2 linked regions of the Caenorhabditis elegans genome follow. The protein of the gene in region 2 purifies or fractionates together with the protein of the main gene of each other region. This does not show direct contact. Each region holds a gene or a part of one and is shown on either strand. Other genes may lie near its edges. The genes, in order: sams-3 and F19F10.3.

The links.
Region 1: the proteins of F19F10.3 (region 2) and sams-3 fractionate together in Caenorhabditis elegans (co-fractionation; one large-scale study listed by BioGRID). This does not show direct contact.

What each region holds. Positions count from the first base shown.
Region 1 is NC_003282.8:5,843,406-5,854,361, reverse strand, and holds sams-3 (putative S-adenosylmethionine synthase 3), read right to left. Parts: upstream 5,706-10,956; 5' UTR 5,675-5,705; coding exon 5,603-5,674; intron 5,558-5,602; exon of another isoform or gene 5,523-5,557; intron 5,475-5,522; coding exon 5,414-5,474; exon of another isoform or gene 5,045-5,413; coding exon 4,922-5,044; exon of another isoform or gene 4,821-4,921; coding exon 4,438-4,820; intron 4,387-4,437; coding exon 3,977-4,386; intron 3,931-3,976; coding exon 3,765-3,930; 3' UTR 3,519-3,764; downstream 1-3,518. Other genes in the region: C06E7.4 (SH2 domain-containing protein), read left to right, coding at 1,153-1,275, 1,705-1,829, 2,202-2,302, 2,362-2,668, 2,721-2,884, 3,245-3,433; sams-4 (putative S-adenosylmethionine synthase 4), read left to right, coding at 8,027-8,098, 8,324-8,384, 8,758-8,880, 8,982-9,364, 9,416-9,825, 9,869-10,034; C06E7.2 (uncharacterized protein), read right to left, coding at 10,436-10,956. UniProt on the Caenorhabditis elegans protein: Catalyzes the formation of S-adenosylmethionine from methionine and ATP. The reaction comprises two steps that are both catalyzed by the same enzyme: formation of S-adenosylmethionine (AdoMet) and triphosphate, and subsequent hydrolysis of the triphosphate.
Region 2 is NC_003283.11:7,546,874-7,556,040, reverse strand, and holds F19F10.3 (DUF4440 domain-containing protein), read right to left. Parts: upstream 3,921-9,167; 5' UTR 3,887-3,920; coding exon 3,883-3,886; intron 3,785-3,882; coding exon 3,411-3,784; 3' UTR 3,333-3,410; downstream 1-3,332. Other genes in the region: ttr-10 (Transthyretin-like family protein), read left to right, coding at 2,379-2,390, 2,521-2,653, 2,700-2,839, 2,886-2,969, 3,015-3,146; ftn-1 (Ferritin), read left to right, coding at 8,478-8,534, 8,995-9,167.

The sequences.
Region 1 (10,956 bases), on a different chromosome or scaffold from region 2:
GCCTGCCTTGTGCCTACGTGCAAGCCTTGCGTGAAATTAAAAAATTTTTTTTTTAATTTTCACAGTTTCAACAAATAGTTAATATGTGGAAGCAAAATATGCTCTAATTTGAAATCCACTTTTATAATAGACAAAAATTTCAAAAAATCGTTTCACTATGGTATCTCTCTAGGCACTAACACAGGTCAGTTTAGCTCTATATAGTCCACCTTTCAGCATCTGTGTTAGTGCTTAGATGCAGAAAAAGGTAGAGGTAAAGCAGGCACAAAGGCATGCAACCTGCCTACCATGAAATTTTTTTTTTGGATTTACTTTTCATAATCCTTCTTCCCAGACGATCGAGGTTCAAGGTTAATTCGCCGTTACGGTTTCCCTAAAAAAGAATTCTCAAATCTTCAAAGCCTCAAACAGGCCATTTTCACCAGCGAACAAAAAAAAACCCATTTGAAATGTCTTCACGCTAATCTCAGCTGTAAATCTTTCCTCTTTTCACCGGATGTTCGGGAGGAACAGATGACCGAAAATGAGTGAAAAAGAACTGGATGAATGTCGAACAAAACATGTATCGGGAAAAACGAGAAAGTGACGGTTAAAAAGAAATTCGAATGGGTGATGGATTTAACATGAAAAAAAGGGAAAAAACAACTGTATTGCTAATGGACTCAATTGTCAAATAGATCCTCCCAATTTGTAGCAATTTAGAGTTCCGGTTGCAAAACTTGAATATTCTGAATAAGGGTTAAATGTGGACTATCGTCAGTGAGGATTTAGTTTAAATAGATCTTAAATAGTCCAAAATTACCAAAAAAAATACACTTCAAAAAAAGTTCGAATTTATAAATTGCGGTAAAACAACTACAGCATTTTGGCAAAATGCCAAAGCTTCAAAAAATGTATAAATTTCGTTTGGAACCACTTATTTTTGAACGACTTTTCGAAATAACTACAGGTGAAAACTAAATTGTTTCCACTTTTTTAAAACTTCAAATTAAAACAGCTTGAAATTATTTTGAAATGTTTCATTATGATATTTGGACTTTATAAAACTATAGCTACGGTTTTAAACAAATTACCTACTCATTGTATGCCTTTTAGTTTAATATTAGGATGCACAAGATGTATACATATATCGATTAATCGATTAATTTCCAGAATGCACGAAGCACCTGAAATCGACGTTCGAATGCGTCAACGTGACTGGAGAACTTCTGATGAGCGACGAGGATTACCAACAAGACGAGAAACACAGAGCCAATATGTGAAGCATAATTACTCGTGAGTTACTTTATTCAAGTTTGGGAATTTCATTGAAACAACTTGTTTTAGTTTTGCACAAGATTGTGGTGCGATCGTTTTTGGTGCAATAATAATTTTTTGAAATTATATTCCAAAACTTTTTTTCATGAATTCCAAATAGTGATAATCAACAAATATTTCATAGAATCTTATCAACTATTTTGCAAAAAAATTCCTCAAATTTTTTAATTTCCAACAGCTCTAATTCCACCAAAAATAGTTATCAAAAAACTGTCAGTTCTCAAATTTTGTGGAAATAATTTGAGGTCTTTTTTTCTTTTCTAATTTTTTAAAGGTAATATAGATTTGTAGAAATACTCTGTAAACTAAAAAATTTCAGTCTCTTGAATTCAATACAGCAAAACATTTACCAATTTGAGTGCTATAAAATATATGTTCAATTTTCAGAAGCACCAACCGCCGAGCCGAACTTAACGGCTCGCTGGCTTCATCGTCCCCAATGACATCATCAGAAGAAGGTGGACATTCTTCAGATCCATGGAACACATCTAGCATTTCTTCAGGAAAACGAGGTATAGATTTGAGAAATTAAAAAGAAGGTGAATAAAACGTGAATTCACTGGAAATTTTATAACAATTGTGAAACCGAAATTATTTTTTAATAGAAAAATGAGAAATCTTATTGGTCTTGTTCCACTTTGACGCTTTATAGCTCGGTTCTTTTTGATTTTACCAGAATTTTTTACGGACGAAGCACGTGAAAAATATTCTTCTATATTTTAATTTGTTTTCATAAAACTAAAAATGACCGTATATGAGCCGCTAAAGTGAAGCAGTGCAAGCTCCAATAGGAAAAATATGATATCTGAAACTTTTTTAAAAACCAGAAAAATTACAGATTCTGAACAAAAAAGATTTTTTTTGGAACACATCTTTAACTTCAGACATTATCTCGCCACCAATGTACAGTAGCACACCACATCACCACAATCACCACAATCACCAGCAACTTCAGCATCATCAGGTCATCAAGTCTCCACAACCTGTAAGATTTAAAAATTTCCCCAATACTATTTATTGAATCCTATGTTTTTACTTTTCCAGCCAATCACAAAAACGATAGAAGTAAAAGTTGAGCGAAGTGAAAAAGTGGAGCAACAGGTGTCGGAGCCCACAAAAAGAGCACCACCAACTGCAGCCCAGACAGCCTCTTCAACGTCATCACGGATTCAACATAATCAAACATTGAATAATTCAAATGCAACATATGCTCAACCAATAATCCGTCGTCAACCATCATATGGCTCGAGATCTTCGTCAATTGCCACGTCACAAATGAGATGTGATCAATCGGAAATTGATTTTTCATGGGTTAATGAGGAAGAGGACAAACTGAAGAGAGAATCAAAACGTTGGTTTTTTTTTAGTTTTCGATGATTTTTGACTAAATAATAATATTCCAGGAATCGATAGTCTTCCTGAATTCTACTTCGGAATGGATCCTCCACCAGTTCCAAGTGATAATGAGAAGGAGAACGATGAGAAGAGAAACAGACGGAAGAGTAGTGTGCTGGAAAAGACTGCGGCTTTCGAGATTGAAGCAAGAAGAAATGATCGGAAGGAGCCGGTTAGTTATTACGGAAGCACAAAATTCTTAGAATGCGTATTGCACCACATATTTGACCATGCAAAATATCTCGTAACGAAAACTACAGTAATTCGTTAAATGACTACGGTAGCTCTTGTGTCGATTTACTGACCTGATTTCCTTCGTTTCTTCGTATTAATTTCATTCTTTGTTTAACATTCTACCGATAAATAAATCAAAGATGCCAAAAAGAGCCCGTAAATCGACACAAGCGCTATAGTATTAGTAATTTTAGGATTTTTTACTGTAGCTTTCGCTACGAGATATCTTGCGCGTAGAATTTTGTGGTGTTTCTGTAATAGTTGTAATTTGAACTCCTAATAATTAGATATTTTCCAGTCATTCCTGTCACGATCCAGTCATCAATTACTGACGACGTCTGAAATCCCACCGGCTGATTATTCCCCACTCTCAATCCACACGAAAGAGATTGGCGGTCCTGCTGAACGTCGAATTTATCGAATTCAGAAGCAACAGCAGCAGCATTCATCTGAAGATCGTCGTTACCGAAGCAGTATTGCGTTTTGAATATTATCCGTCATTCCCAAACTCCATCTACTCGTGCCTCATTTCGATTCGTCTTCGCTCAATTTTCTTTCACAAAAATTATTCTCAATAAATGATTTTTTATAAGGTCTTATATTGAAAAAGGAAAGGGGATAGATAGATTATTTGAAGAAATTGGGGAGGAATTTGGGATTTGAAATCTGAAGTATGTGGATATCGAGGATATTGCGGAAATACAGGTAAACAAGTGAGGATGGGATAAGAGAAAAATGCAATTAGAACTGAATAAAACAATGGTTATTAGAGAAAACAAGAAACAATCAAAACAACAAATGAATCAGACATTGTACAATCAATGGGCAATTCCATTTCCGTTTGAGATCGTTTTTCCTCCAATCTTTTTAAGAAGTTCAACATCAATCTGAAGATGACGTGGCTGCTCCCATGGGAATTCATTGTGTCCAAAGTGTCCGTTCTCAGCGGTTGGTTCATAAATTGGTTTCTTCAAATCGAGATCCCTGAAACTTTACAATTAACAAAAATATTAGTTTGTGGCTGACATACTTAATAATCATTCCAGGTCGCAAATCAAAGTTGTCATTGACAATTTTCAATAGTTCTCCTTCGTTCAACGCAGATGTCCCGAAAGAGAACACCATCACTGAAAGTGGTTTGGCTACTCCGATTGCATAAGATACTTGAACAAGACAACGGCGACAGAGTCCTGATTTGACAAGTGACTTGGCAACCCAACGAGCAGCATATGCGGCAGAACGATCGACTTTGGTTGGGTCTTTTCCAGAGAAAGCACCTCCTCCGTGAGCTCCCCATCCTCCGTAGGTATCAACGATGATCTTACGTCCAGTAAGTCCAGCATCTCCCATTGGTCCTCCAATAATGAATGATCCACATGGATTGAGATGATAGATGGTCTTGTCGTCGATGAGATTGGCAGGAATTACAGCTTTGATAACCTAAAACCGAACAATAAATATAGCTGTATTTTTATTAATATTTTTAATTACCTTTTCGATGAGTTCCTTTCTCAAATCATCGAGACTGATATCTGGAGAATGTTGGGTGGAGATAACAACAGTGTGGACGCGTAGTGGGACACATGCTCCTCCTTCCGAAGCATATTCGATTGTGACTTGGGTCTTCGAGTCCGGACGAACCCATTCGAGCTCTCCAGATCTACGGAGCTCGTGAAGCTTCCGGTTCAGCTTGTGAGACAAGAGAAGAGTCAATGGCATCGCTTCTTCGGTTTCATCAGTAGCATATCCAAACATAATTCCTTGATCTCCGGCTCCGACATCGTCACTATCCTTGTCCACGTGGACTCCAGCAGCGATTTCAGGTGATTGTTGTTCGAGTGCAACAAGAACATTGCATGTCTTGTAATCGAATCCTGAAATTGAATACTGTATTTAATCAATAAACCAAGAAAATGAGATTCCTGACACAATGTGATGAGCCAATAGTGTAGAAACGAAATTATATTCTTCATACCTTTCGAGGAATCATCGTATCCAATTTTCTTAATGACGTTTCGGACGAGAACCTGGTAGTCGACGACAGCTTTCGAGGTGATCTCACCGCACAACATGATCATACCCGTTTTAGTCACCGTTTCTGTAATCAAAGTAACCGTTGTAACAGGTAAAGAAACATATTGTTGCGATAAGCTTCAGCCCCGTTTCCCGCATCATCCAACACCCGTAGAGCCTGAAATCAGAGACATGAATAGGCGATAAATGCAAAAGAACTACAGTGAACGGTACGAGTTCACTGTTGATCCTTCTGCAAATCAAATTCACAACACAAATATCAATATCATGTTAACACGATGTGTGTGTACTGAATGTGACCGCCTGACTTCCATGTCTTCCGCCGAATCTCTGAACGTTGTTAGGGGATAATAATTAGGACTTTTGCTCATCGCAGTTCCATATTGTTGTTGAACTTTCGCTGAAGGATATCAAGAAGTCCTGAACCACTTACCACATGCAACCTTTGCGTGAGGATCTTGAGCCAAATGAGCATCAAGAACAGCGTCCGAGATCTGAAAATAGAAATCTTCGTTTGAGAAATGACGCGAAGAATGGCTGACATCAAAAATATATACGCATTTTCGAAACCATGAAACTAAAAAAAACCTGGCACCTTATTAATGTTTCGTTGGTTACTTACCTGGTCACACATCTTGTCAGGATGCCCTTCAGAGACAGATTCGGAGGTGAAAAGGAACTTGTGTTGCGACATTTTGTTTGGTTGTAAGGTTGAAACACTTCGTCTGAAAATAGTGGTTCGGTTTGGATTAATAAATAGAAACGGAAAGGGAAGAAGGAACGAATAAGAGGCGGAGCACCTCGTAGCAAAACGATCAAGTTGAATAAACATTATTTTTTGCAAATAAAACTACTGTGAAATGTTTGAAATGAAACATTTGAAGCCATAATAGAGCCCAAAACTGAAAATTAGAAAATCGATAACTAGCCACATACTCCCAAACTCAAATAGCTTTTGTAAATAATTGTTTCGAATAAAATAAAATTTCTGGTAATACAAAGAATCCGGATAACACATGAACATTTACAGAAATATCTGGAGAAAGATTATATATGGCTCGGAACTTTGTTGAGCAGTTATTTTAGCGAAAAATTAAAATATTCGTGTAAATTTAATTAAAATTCTTGTGAAAATTAGAAACAAATATGCGAAAAATGCACAAAAAAAAGGCCCAAAAAATCCAGAAATTGTCAAAGTCCGCAAACACCGTGAGCAACTGTCACGTACAATGCCCAACACATTACGACACTTGTAAAAACACTTTTTTCCATTTTCTTCATTTTCTATGCAAATTTCTATAAATCTGCTGGCTTTTTTGAATTTTCGTCGCATTTTATTCGAATTTTAGCCGATCCTTAAACTAGAATTTAACAGCTGTCTCACGGATGGCGATAAATGTTCTAGATTAGATCTGTTTCGCTAATTAGAAACTGGAAATATCTGAAAGCTTTCCCCTATCATGAATAGATCGAAATAATCGAGATATGAGATTCCTAGATATCGGAATTAACAAGAAAAGTTACGGAAAAATATCGAATATCGTATTAATTGTTTTTTCTGCTTGATTAGGTTTAAAAAGGCTTTAAAATCCGTTTTTTTCAGTGAAAAATCACTGTTCTATTTGAGATATAATTTATTTTTCTATTTAACCCACGTGTTTGTTAAATACGATTAAACATTTTGGAAGTAGTTTCATCATTCTTACAGTTTCTCGATAATTGAGCAAAACACCATGACAAAAAGCAAGTGAGACTACAAACTTAAAAGTACAAGGCCAATTCTTATTTACCAAGTTGCTATTTGTTCTAAATTAGAACCTGTTTTCTTGATTCCTTTGCTTTTTAAAGTTTACATTACTGATAATGGCTACTATAATCCGTTCCTAAAGTCTAGAGTATTTGCTTTTTTCATGTTGTGGAAACTGAGCTTCTGCGCTTTTACAAAAGGGCAAAGTCTATTGATTTTCTGCAAATTGAATAGTTTCATGATCATATATCCATTAGCACAATTACACTGTTAGAGGAAATAAAAACAAATATGAATTTGAGGAGAGCGATGAAAATCGTATGATCAAACATAAAAAAGTATGTCAAAGTTTTGCAATAACTTTGTTCAGGCCGATTTTGCCCTCTCGACAGCTTTTTTTCTTGCAAACGATGTTCTGCACAATAGTATAGGCTGGGAATGATCTTGTTGCAATAATAATACTTTTAAAAAGAATTGAGTAAAAACGTGATAACATAGTGAACTCGGCTATATCCACACGTGAAAACGTGAAATTTTATCAAAATTTCTCGGAGTGCATAACATTAAAAAAAACATTGACCGTTTCATCGTCGAAGAGTGTAAGTGAGTTGTCTTTATCTGCTGAAGCTTTCAATAAGGTTCAGCGAGACTTCAATTCCGAAGATTTTTTGTCCGTGTTCCCGGTTCATCTGTACAATCTTCGAACGCATATTTCGAAAGTTTTAGACATTTATTTTTCTAGATTGTAAACGTCGCCTGTCTTGTTCTCTAAGACTTTTATATATTTTTCCTTATCTCGATTTATGTTCTTCAAAAATATGACAGTAAAACTTCCTCAGTGTTCTTATTTCTAAACATCGTATATTTATATAAATATTATTGTGGTGTTTCAAATAACACGTGTTTCATAATTCCTCATCCTTAGATAACGGTTTGCCCTTAGAATTGTTTTGATCCTTCTTTTTTCGAAAATTCTCGCTCCCTTTTTCTCTAAATCTCTGTAGTTTTCTGATGATCTAGGTTCAACCTTCATGGTATAAAAGTAGAGCTTTCCGGGCTAATATTCACACTTGTCTCGCAAAAAAATTGTGTTTTATTGCAATCTAAAAAACGCCCTCAAAACTATACTTTAGAGCAACGTGTTTCCAACAAGACGCAGAGTATTGTGTCTCTCTTTGTTGCGTGGCGCTCCGCCCTCTATTCAACCCACCTCCGCTTCCTCGCTTTCCTTTATTTATTTGAGCTAAATATCATCGCTCTTTCAGACGGACGCTTTCAAACATCCATCAACGAAATAAAATGCCGCAACACAAGTTCCTTTTCACCTCCGAATCTGTCTCCGAGGGGCATCCCGACAAGATGTGTGACCAAGTAAGTTATATTTGATAAGAAATCGTCTTTTCCAGATAAACAAATCCATCAAATTTTTTGATTGGAAATACGCTACTGTTGAAAAAAAAAATCTGTCAAGTTCGTAAAAAGTTAGTTATGGGACAAAATGTGTATAGTTTCAAACAAAACGTTATCTCCGAAGCGTAGAAAATTGGCCCACGTGCTCGAAAGCAGCTGTCTATCATTCTCATGTTTGTTTTTCAGATCTCGGACGCTGTTCTTGACGCTCATCTGGCTCAAGACCCTCACGCTAAGGTTGCTTGTGGTGAGTGATTCAGGACTTTTGGATATCCTCCAACGAAATGTCAACAACAACATGGAGCTGCGATGAGCAAAAGTCCCAATTATTATCCGTACAACATTCAGAGATTCGGCGATATGGAAGACAGGCGGTCAGATTCAATACACTCGCGTCGTGTTAACCTCAGAATTAACATGATATTGATATTTGTGTTGTGAATTTGATTTGCAGAAGGATCAACAGTGAACTCGTACCTATCACTGTGGTTCTTTTGCATTTCGCCTATTCATGTCTCTGATTTCAGGCTCTACGGGTGTTGGATGATGCGGGAAACGGGGCTGAAGCTTATCGCAACAATATGTTTCTTTACCTGTTACAACGGTTACTTTGATTACAGAAACGGTGACTAAAACGGGTATGATCATGTTGTGCGGTGAGATCACCTCGAAAGCTGTCGTCGACTACCAGGTTCTCGTCCGAAACGTCATTAAGAAAATTGGATACGATGATTCCTCGAAAGGTATGAAGAATATAATTTCGTTTCTACACTATTGGCTCATCACATTGTGTCAGGAATCTCATTTTCTTGGTTTATTGATTAAATACAGTATTCATTTTCAGGATTCGATTACAAGACATGCAATGTTCTTGTTGCACTCGAACAACAATCACCTGAAATCGCTGCTGGAGTCCACGTGGACAAGGATAGTGACGATGTCGGAGCCGGAGATCAAGGAATTATGTTTGGATATGCTACTGATGAAACCGAAGAAGCGATGCCATTGACTCTTCTCTTGTCTCACAAGCTGAACCGGAAGCTTCACGAGCTCCGTAGATCTGGAGAGCTCGAATGGGTTCGTCCGGACTCGAAGACCCAAGTCACAATCGAATATGCTTCGGAAGGAGGAGCATGTGTCCCACTACGCGTCCACACTGTTGTTATCTCCACCCAACATTCTCCAGATATCAGTCTCGATGATTTGAGAAAGGAACTCATCGAAAAGGTAATTAAAAATATTAATAAAAATACAGCTATATTTATTGTTCGGTTTTAGGTTATCAAAGCTGTAATTCCTGCCAATCTCATCGACGACAAGACCATCTATCATCTCAATCCATGTGGATCATTCATTATTGGAGGACCAATGGGAGATGCTGGACTTACTGGACGTAAGATCATCGTTGATACCTACGGAGGATGGGGAGCTCACGGAGGAGGTGCTTTCTCTGGAAAGGACCCAACCAAAGTCGATCGTTCTGCCGCATATGCTGCTCGTTGGGTTGCCAAGTCACTTGTCAAAGCTGGACTTTGCCGTCGTTGCCTTGTTCAAGTTTCATACGCCATCGGAGTTGCTAAGCCTCTTTCTGTGATGGTCTTTTCATTTGGAACTTCTGCTCTCAGCGAGGAGGATTTATTGACCATTGTGAATGATAACTTCGATCTGAGACCGGGAAAGATTATCAAGTAAGCGTTTTTTTTTATGTTTCACTATTTTTACTGTTTTCAGGAATCTTGACTTGAAGAGACCAATTTACGAGCCAACTGCTGAAAACGGACACTTTGGACACAATAATTTCCCATGGGAGCAGCCTCGAAACCTCAAAATCAGTGCAGATATGCTCGCCAAATCACAAGGACCAGCTCAACCTGACGTAATTGGAATTGCCCATTAAAATTCTGAGATTATTGTAATAATCAACTTGATAAAAGTGCTTGTAAGCCTTCTAGTAATCACATACATTTATTTTGGTTTCATTTTCACTTGTTCCCCTAAATTCCATTAATTCTATTCCCCTGAGCCTCATTTAGATTCAAAATCAGTAGCCCCCACCATCCCGCACACATGATCGCTTTATTCCATAATTATTATTCCATTTCACGTATTTATTACTACAAGTTGATCACGATTTTTCGTAATCAATAAATTTGCTTGATAATTATCCTATTTGTTCATTTGTCAGTCTGCAGAAACCTCAAGAAATCTGAAAACTCAAAAAAAAAATCATTTCCTTTATTAAATTTTTTGCTCAATATATCGACAGAAAGCACCAGGTTTATTAAAAGAGTCTACAATTTAAGTGAAATATTTGCAAAATAAAATGGAAGATATAGAAATTAAAATAAAGTTTGAATTCATCGTTGTTTTACTAGATTTGACCGCTTTTGCATCTGTTGATGTATCATTTGAATGTGAATTTTCAGAATTCTCTTCTCCATTTTCAGATGTCATATTGACTTCTCGTGTTTTTAATTCTCCAACATCTTTCTCTCCATCGACAGCTTCTTCATCTGATTTTAATTCTTTTATTATTTCATTTAATTCTTTTTCTGCTTTTTCTTCTTCTTCTTTTGATATTTCATCAACTGGAATTTCATTTGAAATTAATATTTTTTCATTTATTTCTGAAGCTGATGTTGTTCCGACTCCGCCCATTTCATAACTGAAAAAGGATTTCGATGGAGAATATGCTTCTTTTGGTTTGAATGATGTTGCAGAAGATGGAGTTACGGAAGATTCGGATGGTTTTTTAGTTGGAGATGGTGTAGACGCTTTGTGCTTCTGATTGAATTGCTCATTGAGTTTTGAAGCTTTTG
Region 2 (9,167 bases):
ACACAAGGAACATGCAATCTTGAAACAATAAGTTTGTATCAATAATTTTTAAAAGTTTCCAACCTGAAATGTTAGCACATAATATCGAAATGTGTCCATATTTCCCTTGTGAAACAACAAAAGATAGACAACAAAGGAGTTAACCAAAACTGAAATAGTCCCGCTGATATAATAATGCTCTATTAGAAAATGCGGGGTGGTGAAGTCGATGTCAGAAAATTCAATTTGCATTTTGAGCTGAAATATGTTAACATGGTTTTGCAGAAACTTCTTCAATATTTTAGAAAATAGCGTCAATGGGAAAACTTTCAAATCACTGTACAAAAAACTGAAAAATAGAAAAAAATAGAGCAGAAACATGGGAAATGTAAAGCGGCCAAACGAGTCAACTCTTTCATTATAACTATTTTAAAAACACAGTTTTTTGTTGAAATTCCAAATATAATTTTCGTCGAATCTACCTTTTTGCATTCACTTAAATTTTCAAAAAATCTGTTAAACCAAAAGAGAATTAAGTTTTAAAAAACCTTATTTTATTGCAAAAATCAAACGTCATTGGAAGTCCTTCAGTAGCATAATATTTAATAAGGAATCACTATTTATGCTGCAAATAGAATATGTTGAAAGAGAAGCTGAAAACTTGCCAAAAGAGTCGCCAAGCTTTCATGCTACATTTTTGGATCGTTAACTTTTTCAAATCGGATGTTCTAATTTAGTTAGTTTTTGAAGAACTGAATATTGAAATTTGAGTTTTAAAAAAATCGAAAACTATATTTTACACTGTCGAAGTGTTAGTTTTTTAAAGCGTTTTGCGTATCAAGTACGGGACAAACCCTTAATTTATGCACTAATTGTAAGTTTTTGAATATATAATTCATTTCCTGCTTATGATTTGTTTTTGACATATGTCATATTCTAATTAGTTATTCCAAGAATCAAATCCAATTTGAACTTTTCTCTCGAATAATAGTGTCTGATTTCCAATTTTTAATCTAACTTTTTCAGAGCAAGGTTGTATTTTTTTCTGAAAGAAAATTAAAAACAAAAACAAGAAATATTTTTTCAGCAGTTATATGTACTCTTTGGAGTTTTTTTCTGGAGGTGGTTTCCTCACAAGTTATTCATAATTTCATTGTCTCGTAGATGTGATTAGTCCGTTTTGACTTGATTCTTGATACTTTTCCTCCAAAAGAGTGTGGGAGTTAGTCACGGAGTCTACATTACCTATCCAGCAGACCTTTAACTTTGATTGAAAAATTGGTTACAGAACATATGATTGAAGTTCAAAACTAGAACATTTTCAGGTATTTATAAAGCTGTCGGGTTACTGAAAATGCCACAATTGTAGTGACCTTAAAGGAGGTCATTTATAGGCTTATTTGAGAGATCATGCCTGTCTGCCTACATGCCCTCTGGCGTTCCGATTTTCGCAGAGTGATACAAATTCATAAATTTTTAAACTTCAAATAATTCAATGAAACTACAAGCCTTTTCAGATTTTTTCTTGGAGTCTTTTCCAGGATCCATTCTAAATTTCAATGTTAAAAAAATCACAATATAAAATCTCGGATACGTAATCTGCTGTAGAGCAATTAAACCTAGTTCTCATCCCTATAATTATTATTTGTCCAGAAATATATTATTATTATTATTATTTTCAGTTCCATTTTATTCCAGTCAAATTATAAAAAATATATATATCGAAATTATAATAGTTCTAGAAGATATTTTTCGTCTGAAAAGTACATTTATGGTTTTTCCATTCAAATCTGAAAGTGAGGCTTCACTAATCTTTGAGCCCAAAAAATCCTGTTTTTTAAAAACCATAAAAATCACGGAACATGTGCTTTTCTCAGTTAGCTCGAAATTGCCACCAGGTGTTTGTCGGGCGGACTTGGAAATAATTTTATGTGGCCATATGCTTTATGTTTTTCAGATGTGCCGAGAATAAATTGTACAAAAACCGACATTTCTGATCTTTGTCAACAGAAACGAAATATTTTTTCCTAGAAATCAAGTTTGTTCCGCCAACTGAAAATCTGATTTCAAAATAAAATTGAATATAAACCTAATTTAAAGCTTATTAAATCATGTTTGTGTTCCTTTCAATTTTTGCTGCCCCTGATCAAGCTGAACAAGGAACCAGTATTTTCCAAGAATTTTTGTCATTTTTCATAGGTTGTTTGCGCTGGCAAGTCTTAAAATATGTATGTTATTTGTTCCATTTTTTTACGCATTATTGTATTCAAATTCCAAATTAAATCGTTTAATGTTACATGCCAAATTTCAGATTTTTTGTTGCAGTTGGTTCCTTCCATTTCAACAACAAAAATTAAACAGAGCTTCGTCCGAAATTGGCGCCGGAATTACGTTGCGACATGTGGAAGCTGGTGAGTAATGTGAGCACAAAGTTGTTTCACATAGAATTTAAACAAAAACAGGAAACCTCAAATATCATGCAGACTCGTTTTATTAACTCGAAATTTGCATGACAATTCAATCAATACCCTAATTTTTCAGATATTGCTCATTTCTCTTGGGTTCCCTATTGTCAATTCCATTGGCGAAGGATCGTTCCACGTCAGCGGTCGCTTGATGTGCGGTGGGAAGCCATACGCCAATGAAAGTGTTTCCATCTATGAGAAAAACTACAGTAATATTCATATTTAGTGCATTCAGGGTTAACAGAATATTTTCAGTGTTAACCGATATTCTGATGGAATCACTTTTTACTGATGAAGATGGAAACTTCTCTGTTAAAACTTTTGGAAAAGACTGGCCCCACTTCACACCTTATCTCTACGCGCCAAATTATTGTAAACCAGTTGATAACTTTGTCGTGAGTTTGCAAACAATAACTTCACATTTGAAAATATTTTTTTTAGTTTGCGGACAGAGAATGCACAGACTCGGCTTTGCAAATCTTGATTCCAACAGAATTTGTTTCCCCAACACGTACTCCAACCAAGGTAATTGTGGTGAAAAAGGTATAAGCTTAATTGACATTTTCCTAGATTTTCGACATTGGTGAAATAGACATGTCGGCTGATGAAGTCAAATACGAAAACGTTGGATTGGGATCTGTCGGAGGAGGATTTCTTGTAAATGACAAGAGATGCAAGTATAGAAACTCAACGAGTACCTGACTACAATCGTAATAGACTTGATTCAATTTTAAATACAAGATATTTGACATACAACTATTATTTTTTGAATAAAAATGAACTGTAGTACCTATAACTATTATATTAAACAACTCGTTTTTCATAAAACTGTTTTTTCCGCATCCACAAATAATATTTTGACATTGAAATTGTTGAAAATGCAACTTTCATTTTAATGTTTTTACTGGTTAAGGAAAAATATAAGCTGAATTTTATTTTCAAATTTTTCACGATATGAGCAAAAGTTTATTGTGGTGCTGGAGCCTTGAAAGTGACACACGAATTACGAATCTTCCAATTTCCATCTTCCTTGACCCAGACACTCAAAGCCCATCCAGTTTTGTCACCAGATGGAAGCTTGACAATAATTGTGTTCCGTTCGATGACAACGTCTCCAATTTGTGTGACCTCGTCAGTTGTCATCTCAAAGTCAGCTTTGACAAGAGGTGCAAGATCGTCACTTTTGGCCAAGCTAATTGAATCTGCAGCGGTCACTGGGTCGTGGAATGGTGCGAGGAAGGTAGCGTCCTTGGCGGCGAATCTTTCGACAAACTCTTCGTGTTTGCCTGCATTTTTAAGCTCTTTTATCTCATTCCTGAGCTTTTTGAATTCTTCAAGAGCTGAAAGACAATTTTTTAACATTCATTATAATACTAGACTATCTTTGTCGACATGTATGTAATACACATAGTTTCGTTTAAATTGGAAAATAACTTACACATGACAATGCCAGTAGAGACCGAATAGCAACTTTTTGAAGTTTTCACGCTGCCTGTTGATTTTTATACTTCCAGTTCCATGTCTCCTCCCAGTACCCACCCAAAACTTGCGAAAGTCTAGTTGCGTTGTTTTCAAAATTGTGTTGTGATCTCCTGACCCTTGCACATCTGTTGCTCTTCAAGTTGTAGTATGAAATCTTGTGGAATGTTTAGTTCCGATCAAAAATTTCAGGAAGCTGTGTGATCTTGTATCTCTTCAGTGAACAACTTCCCCACCCTCGCATTTTAACATTTCTAGCAGCTGGCTTTCCAACTACATGACACAATTTCATAAAATGTTAAAATCCTAACTTAGTACAAGTTGTCATAAAATTGAGACAAATGACGATTAAAATAGATTTTTTTCAAGTTTATTTAAAGCTTGTGAACGTGTATGACAATATGAAACGCCAGTAATTTCAGATTTGAATGCATTTCTTTAACAATTTTTAGGTTTATTTTTCTAATTTTCCGCAGATTTGTATAATTGAACATTTTTTTGTTCAGTAATAATTAATCTTTGTGCTGTATCATTATGTTAAACAAAAACATTTCATAATCGTATTATTATAATCTTTCTGCTTACTGGTTCTGCCGAGATAAATTTATTCAGAAAAAAATGAATGCAAATGTTTTTCACCATTTTCCTTTTTGTAGGGTTTGATTGTGGTTTGCTTCAAAGGCTCTAGTGTAAACCTGAAAAGCAATTGCATCGGATTTATTCATTCGTGCATCTAGACTGTTGTCGATGATATCCGCAAAAACATAATATTCATCATCAGGAAGATCGGCGACCTTCATGAGAACCGTCAAGTACCAGTAGGTCAGGGTATAGAGGAAGTCGTTAGCATATCGGCTGTCAAAGTACGCATAGAGGTCTCGGTGCTAAAATAAAATAATTAATTTTCTAATCTCACAAACTAACAAAAACAACTATTTTTCTACATCTTTTTTATTTTTACTCCGCAGCATGGGGTTACAGCGGATGTTTTAGAAAATGACCTCGTTGGTACATTAACATCAAACTAAACGTAGAAATAAAGAAATCTAACTGTAAAGGGACACTTATATAATCAGAATACAATTTGTTTGAAAAGTTTTATATTTTACCAGGATTGCAGTAGGCTTATCGAAGAACTTTGTGATGCCTGGTATCAAGTCCTGTGTCCACCATTGAGTGACTGATTGTCTCTGAATTTTGATCTTTTCGTCTGAAATTTTCTTAGAACAAAACCAACATTATTCACCAGCGCGATAAGCTTCTGCTTGCTGTACGTAGAATTGACATAAAGCGACAATGTCTTTGGGTTTGGTTTTCCTGCTTTATTCTGATTGAAAAACTTATTTACGAGGTTTCGCATGACTGGAAAATTTCCAATATTTTGGTTGAGACCTTGAGCAAGCTGAACTGTTTTTTCATAATTGAACAACTATAAGTGAGACTTACAGCAAATGCATTTGCATCCGTTGCATGGGGAATAATTTTCTGGATGGCAATTTACGATACAGACTGAAATTTTACACAATAACGTATTGAATCATGTGCTCATGGGTGGTAGACACGTTTTAATTAAAAAAAAAAAAAAAAAAAAAAAATCTAAGAAATAGTTTAAATATTATTAAGAAGGTGTTTTCAGGTCAATTTTTTGAACGAAAATTATAATGAAAGAGAGCCACGTGGCAGCAGCATTTATATTTTTCAGAAAACCCACAACTTACTCCGAATGCCTGCTGAGTACCTACAATAGAAAAAAGTTCCAGTGCACAAAATACAATGGGAAAAAGACACCTCTGCATGGTAGATTCGGTATGATTTTAATGGTGGCGGGCTTTTTTACCGAGGCGACAAATCCCTGGACAGATTAAAAAGTAGAATACGGAAATTCAAAAAGATACATTGAAATTTTGTGAATCAATTAATAATCTGTCGTGATTTGTGCAGAGGTGAACAAATCATGCGGGTTTTTCTATGATTTCAAACACAGGCAAAGCGGGTACGGTCCGTTTACGGATCTTGGACCGGGATCGGACCATTAACGGGTGAACTACGGATATGAATAGCGGGACGGACCAATTACGGGCAAACTACGGGGAATGTAAAAAATGGCCATTAAGAGGAAAAAATGGATTTTAAGAAAACGAATTGTTTTTAATACCTATGATACCAGTTGGCTAATTTAAGCATTTTTACGTCGTTAAATGCATTATTTAGAGCAAACACCACATTTACCGACCGAGATGGCTCTTGAGCCGTAGTTGGGCCGTTTCCGGTCCGTAGAAGGTCCGTCGCCGGCCCGTAGACGGACCGTAAATGAACCGTCCCGGGCACCAAATTTTTGTTTTTGAAAATTTCAGGTTCTAGCACGGAAAAAGTGCTGAAATTAGCTAAAGGAGAGTACCCTCTCCTTCTCTCTTCGGCACTTCAAAAACTCCATTTTCATGAAAAATTTTTTCGTATTATCCTCCGTTTTGGTGATCATCCGTAGTTTGGCCGTAGCCGGTCCGTAGATGGTCCGTAAATTACCCGTCCCGGTCGGCAAAACTGCACTTTTTAAAACTAAACCTTGAATCAGGCAAAAAATTAACCAACTGGCTACAATGAACCAAATAGCATTGTAGGTACTTCAAAAACTCAATTTTCATGAAAAAAAAATTCCTCTGGGCAACCATTTTGTCTATCATCTGTCCGACTGGTCCGTACGCGGCCCGTAATCGCATGCGATCTAACTGAGGCTATTAAGCAGAACATTGTGTGTAAAAGAGGTTATATTAATGTATATAAAAATATCAATAAAAAAGATGAAATGCCACAATTGGGTAGATACTGTGTATACGCAACGTTCACTCTCTCTCTGCTGGTCTTCTTCAGCTGAGCAACAGGAGCATTTTTTGAAATATCATAAAATATTTTACTAACAATACATTCTGGAATCATTCCTGATATCGTTTCTGTTCCGTGTGTATTTTAAGAAATTAAGGTATCATTCAAGTAGAACGCATATACCTTATTTCCTCTATTAGTCTTGCAACCCTACGGTCCAATCGAAAATTAGTCTTGCATGCAAGACTAATAGAGGAAATATGGTAAGTACCATTTCTGTATTACAAGTAGATGGAGCACAAATAGGTAGATGTTGAGAAATATGCGAAATAAGTTCTGGACTACACGAAACTGTCAATTGTTATCGTTCGTTTTCATATAAGTCCAACGGCAAGATGGAGAATCAGAAACTACTGAAAATACAATCGAAAAAGTTGGTGTAAGCCGTGAAAACCAGAAGAAAATGCGCTGATCGCTATTTATGCGAAGTCTCTTGATATTCCTCGCGTGCGCGAATGGCCACACGGAAAGGTGATGGGCCAGTAATCAATCGACAGGCAGTGGACAAGTTCAACCCCGGCTGAGGCAGATAGAATTGCTACAACGAAGGATCACCGGAAGACGGTCTGGAGGAAGACCGGAGCTTGGAGCATTGGGAAAGAAAAAGGGGGCAGCTGGAGGGTGAAAAAATTTTCCCATTTTTTAGTCTCCTTACGGTTCAATTACGGTCCGTTGACGGACCGGGAATCGAACCGTGAACTGTTCTTTAATTTGAGCCGTTCCCGGTCCGTGAACGGACCGTTTTGGGCACTTTCCGCTTTGCCTGTGAAAAAACAGTTCCACTGAAAAGTGTTTTTTTGTAATTTTTGATACTTGTTCAAGTTATTAAATGGTCTGCTCAGTTTTCAGTGTTTTTTTTTTGAATTTCGCTTTAACCTGAACCATCCTAATTCAAAAGTATCAATATTCTGACGCAATATTTAAATTTTTTTTGTTAAACTATATCACTTTTTCCATCCAACTTTTGACTGTCAACAGCTCACGTAGCCAATGATAAGAGCGGCACGTACCGTTTGTTATCACTAAATTTTGATGCACGTAGCCAAAATAAATGCTAATCAACATGTCTTAGGGCAGCTCATGTGATGCCGAGACAACCATACATCAACGTTAAGAAAGTGTAGATCATCATTTGATGAGAATTGGGTTTTGTTTGGATCAGGAAAAACCGGAACTTTTTATTTCAGAATTTAGGGCGTTCACTGGAAACGTTCTAACAATACTGGTATAATTTATCTCCCAAAAAACACTTTTCAAGTTTATAACCTATATCTAAGTTTAAAAATTTTGAGTACAGGACAAGTATGAGTTTACGAAGCATCATATTAAAATCAAAATGTAATGTGAATGTGGACGCTAGAAAGCCAGGCGAAAAGGGACATCACACTTCTGCAAAAAGTTATTTTCATTCGGCGATCCTTGGATGTAGTTTTCTTACAGAAGGTTAAGCTTCTCAAAATGTACTTCAACACTTAGGTTTCCATATTAGTTCATTGAAACGCATGTTTCTGTAAACAAGAACCCTTTCGTTGCCAATATGTAATGTGCAAAAATCATAATCAGTTTATCAATGATCACAATCACAAACTCCGCCCCCAGAGTTGTCCAGTTTAAAAACACCCACAGTCCCGGACACGTAATCAAGTCATTATATTTTCTGCCAAGTAAATCGTCATGTCTCTAGCTCGTCAAAACTATCACGATGAAGTCGAAGCGGCCGTCAATAAACAGGTATGATCATTGTTTTGACAAATGGGAAAAATATATTAGGAAGGTTGGAAATTGAGAAGAGATTTAGAAAAAGAGAGGATGTGTCGTGAGAAAATTAATCACTGATGTCTGGTTACTTTAAATTAGGAATTTAACTGATTAATAAAAACATTGAAACACACCACACGCTTATTTTTCCAACCGGCAACATTTTGTTTTTTTTTAACGAACAAGGGCAGGCAGACAGTACCTGAAGAAGCGCAATTTGATCATGGCAGCGTCGATGATTTCTTTGCTCTTATGCCAGTCATCCAAAAAAAATATACAGAATAGGCGGCAGTAGATAGACGAGCACGTGAGACTGAAAGCGTCTACAATAAAAATCCTATCTGAGCTTGCTTTTGAACTGGACGAAATTAACACTGAAATGCTTTTAAAATTAGAAGTATTACTCAATTAAAAGCTTAAATTACCTTTCCAGATTAACGTAGAACTCTACGCCTCCTATGTCTATCTATCGATGTCTGCACACTTCGATCGTGATGATATCGCACTTCGGAACATTGCCAAATTTTTCAAGGAGCAATCGGATGAGGAGCGTGGCCATGCCACAGAGCTCATGAGAATTCAAGCTGTCCGTGGAGGACGTGTTGC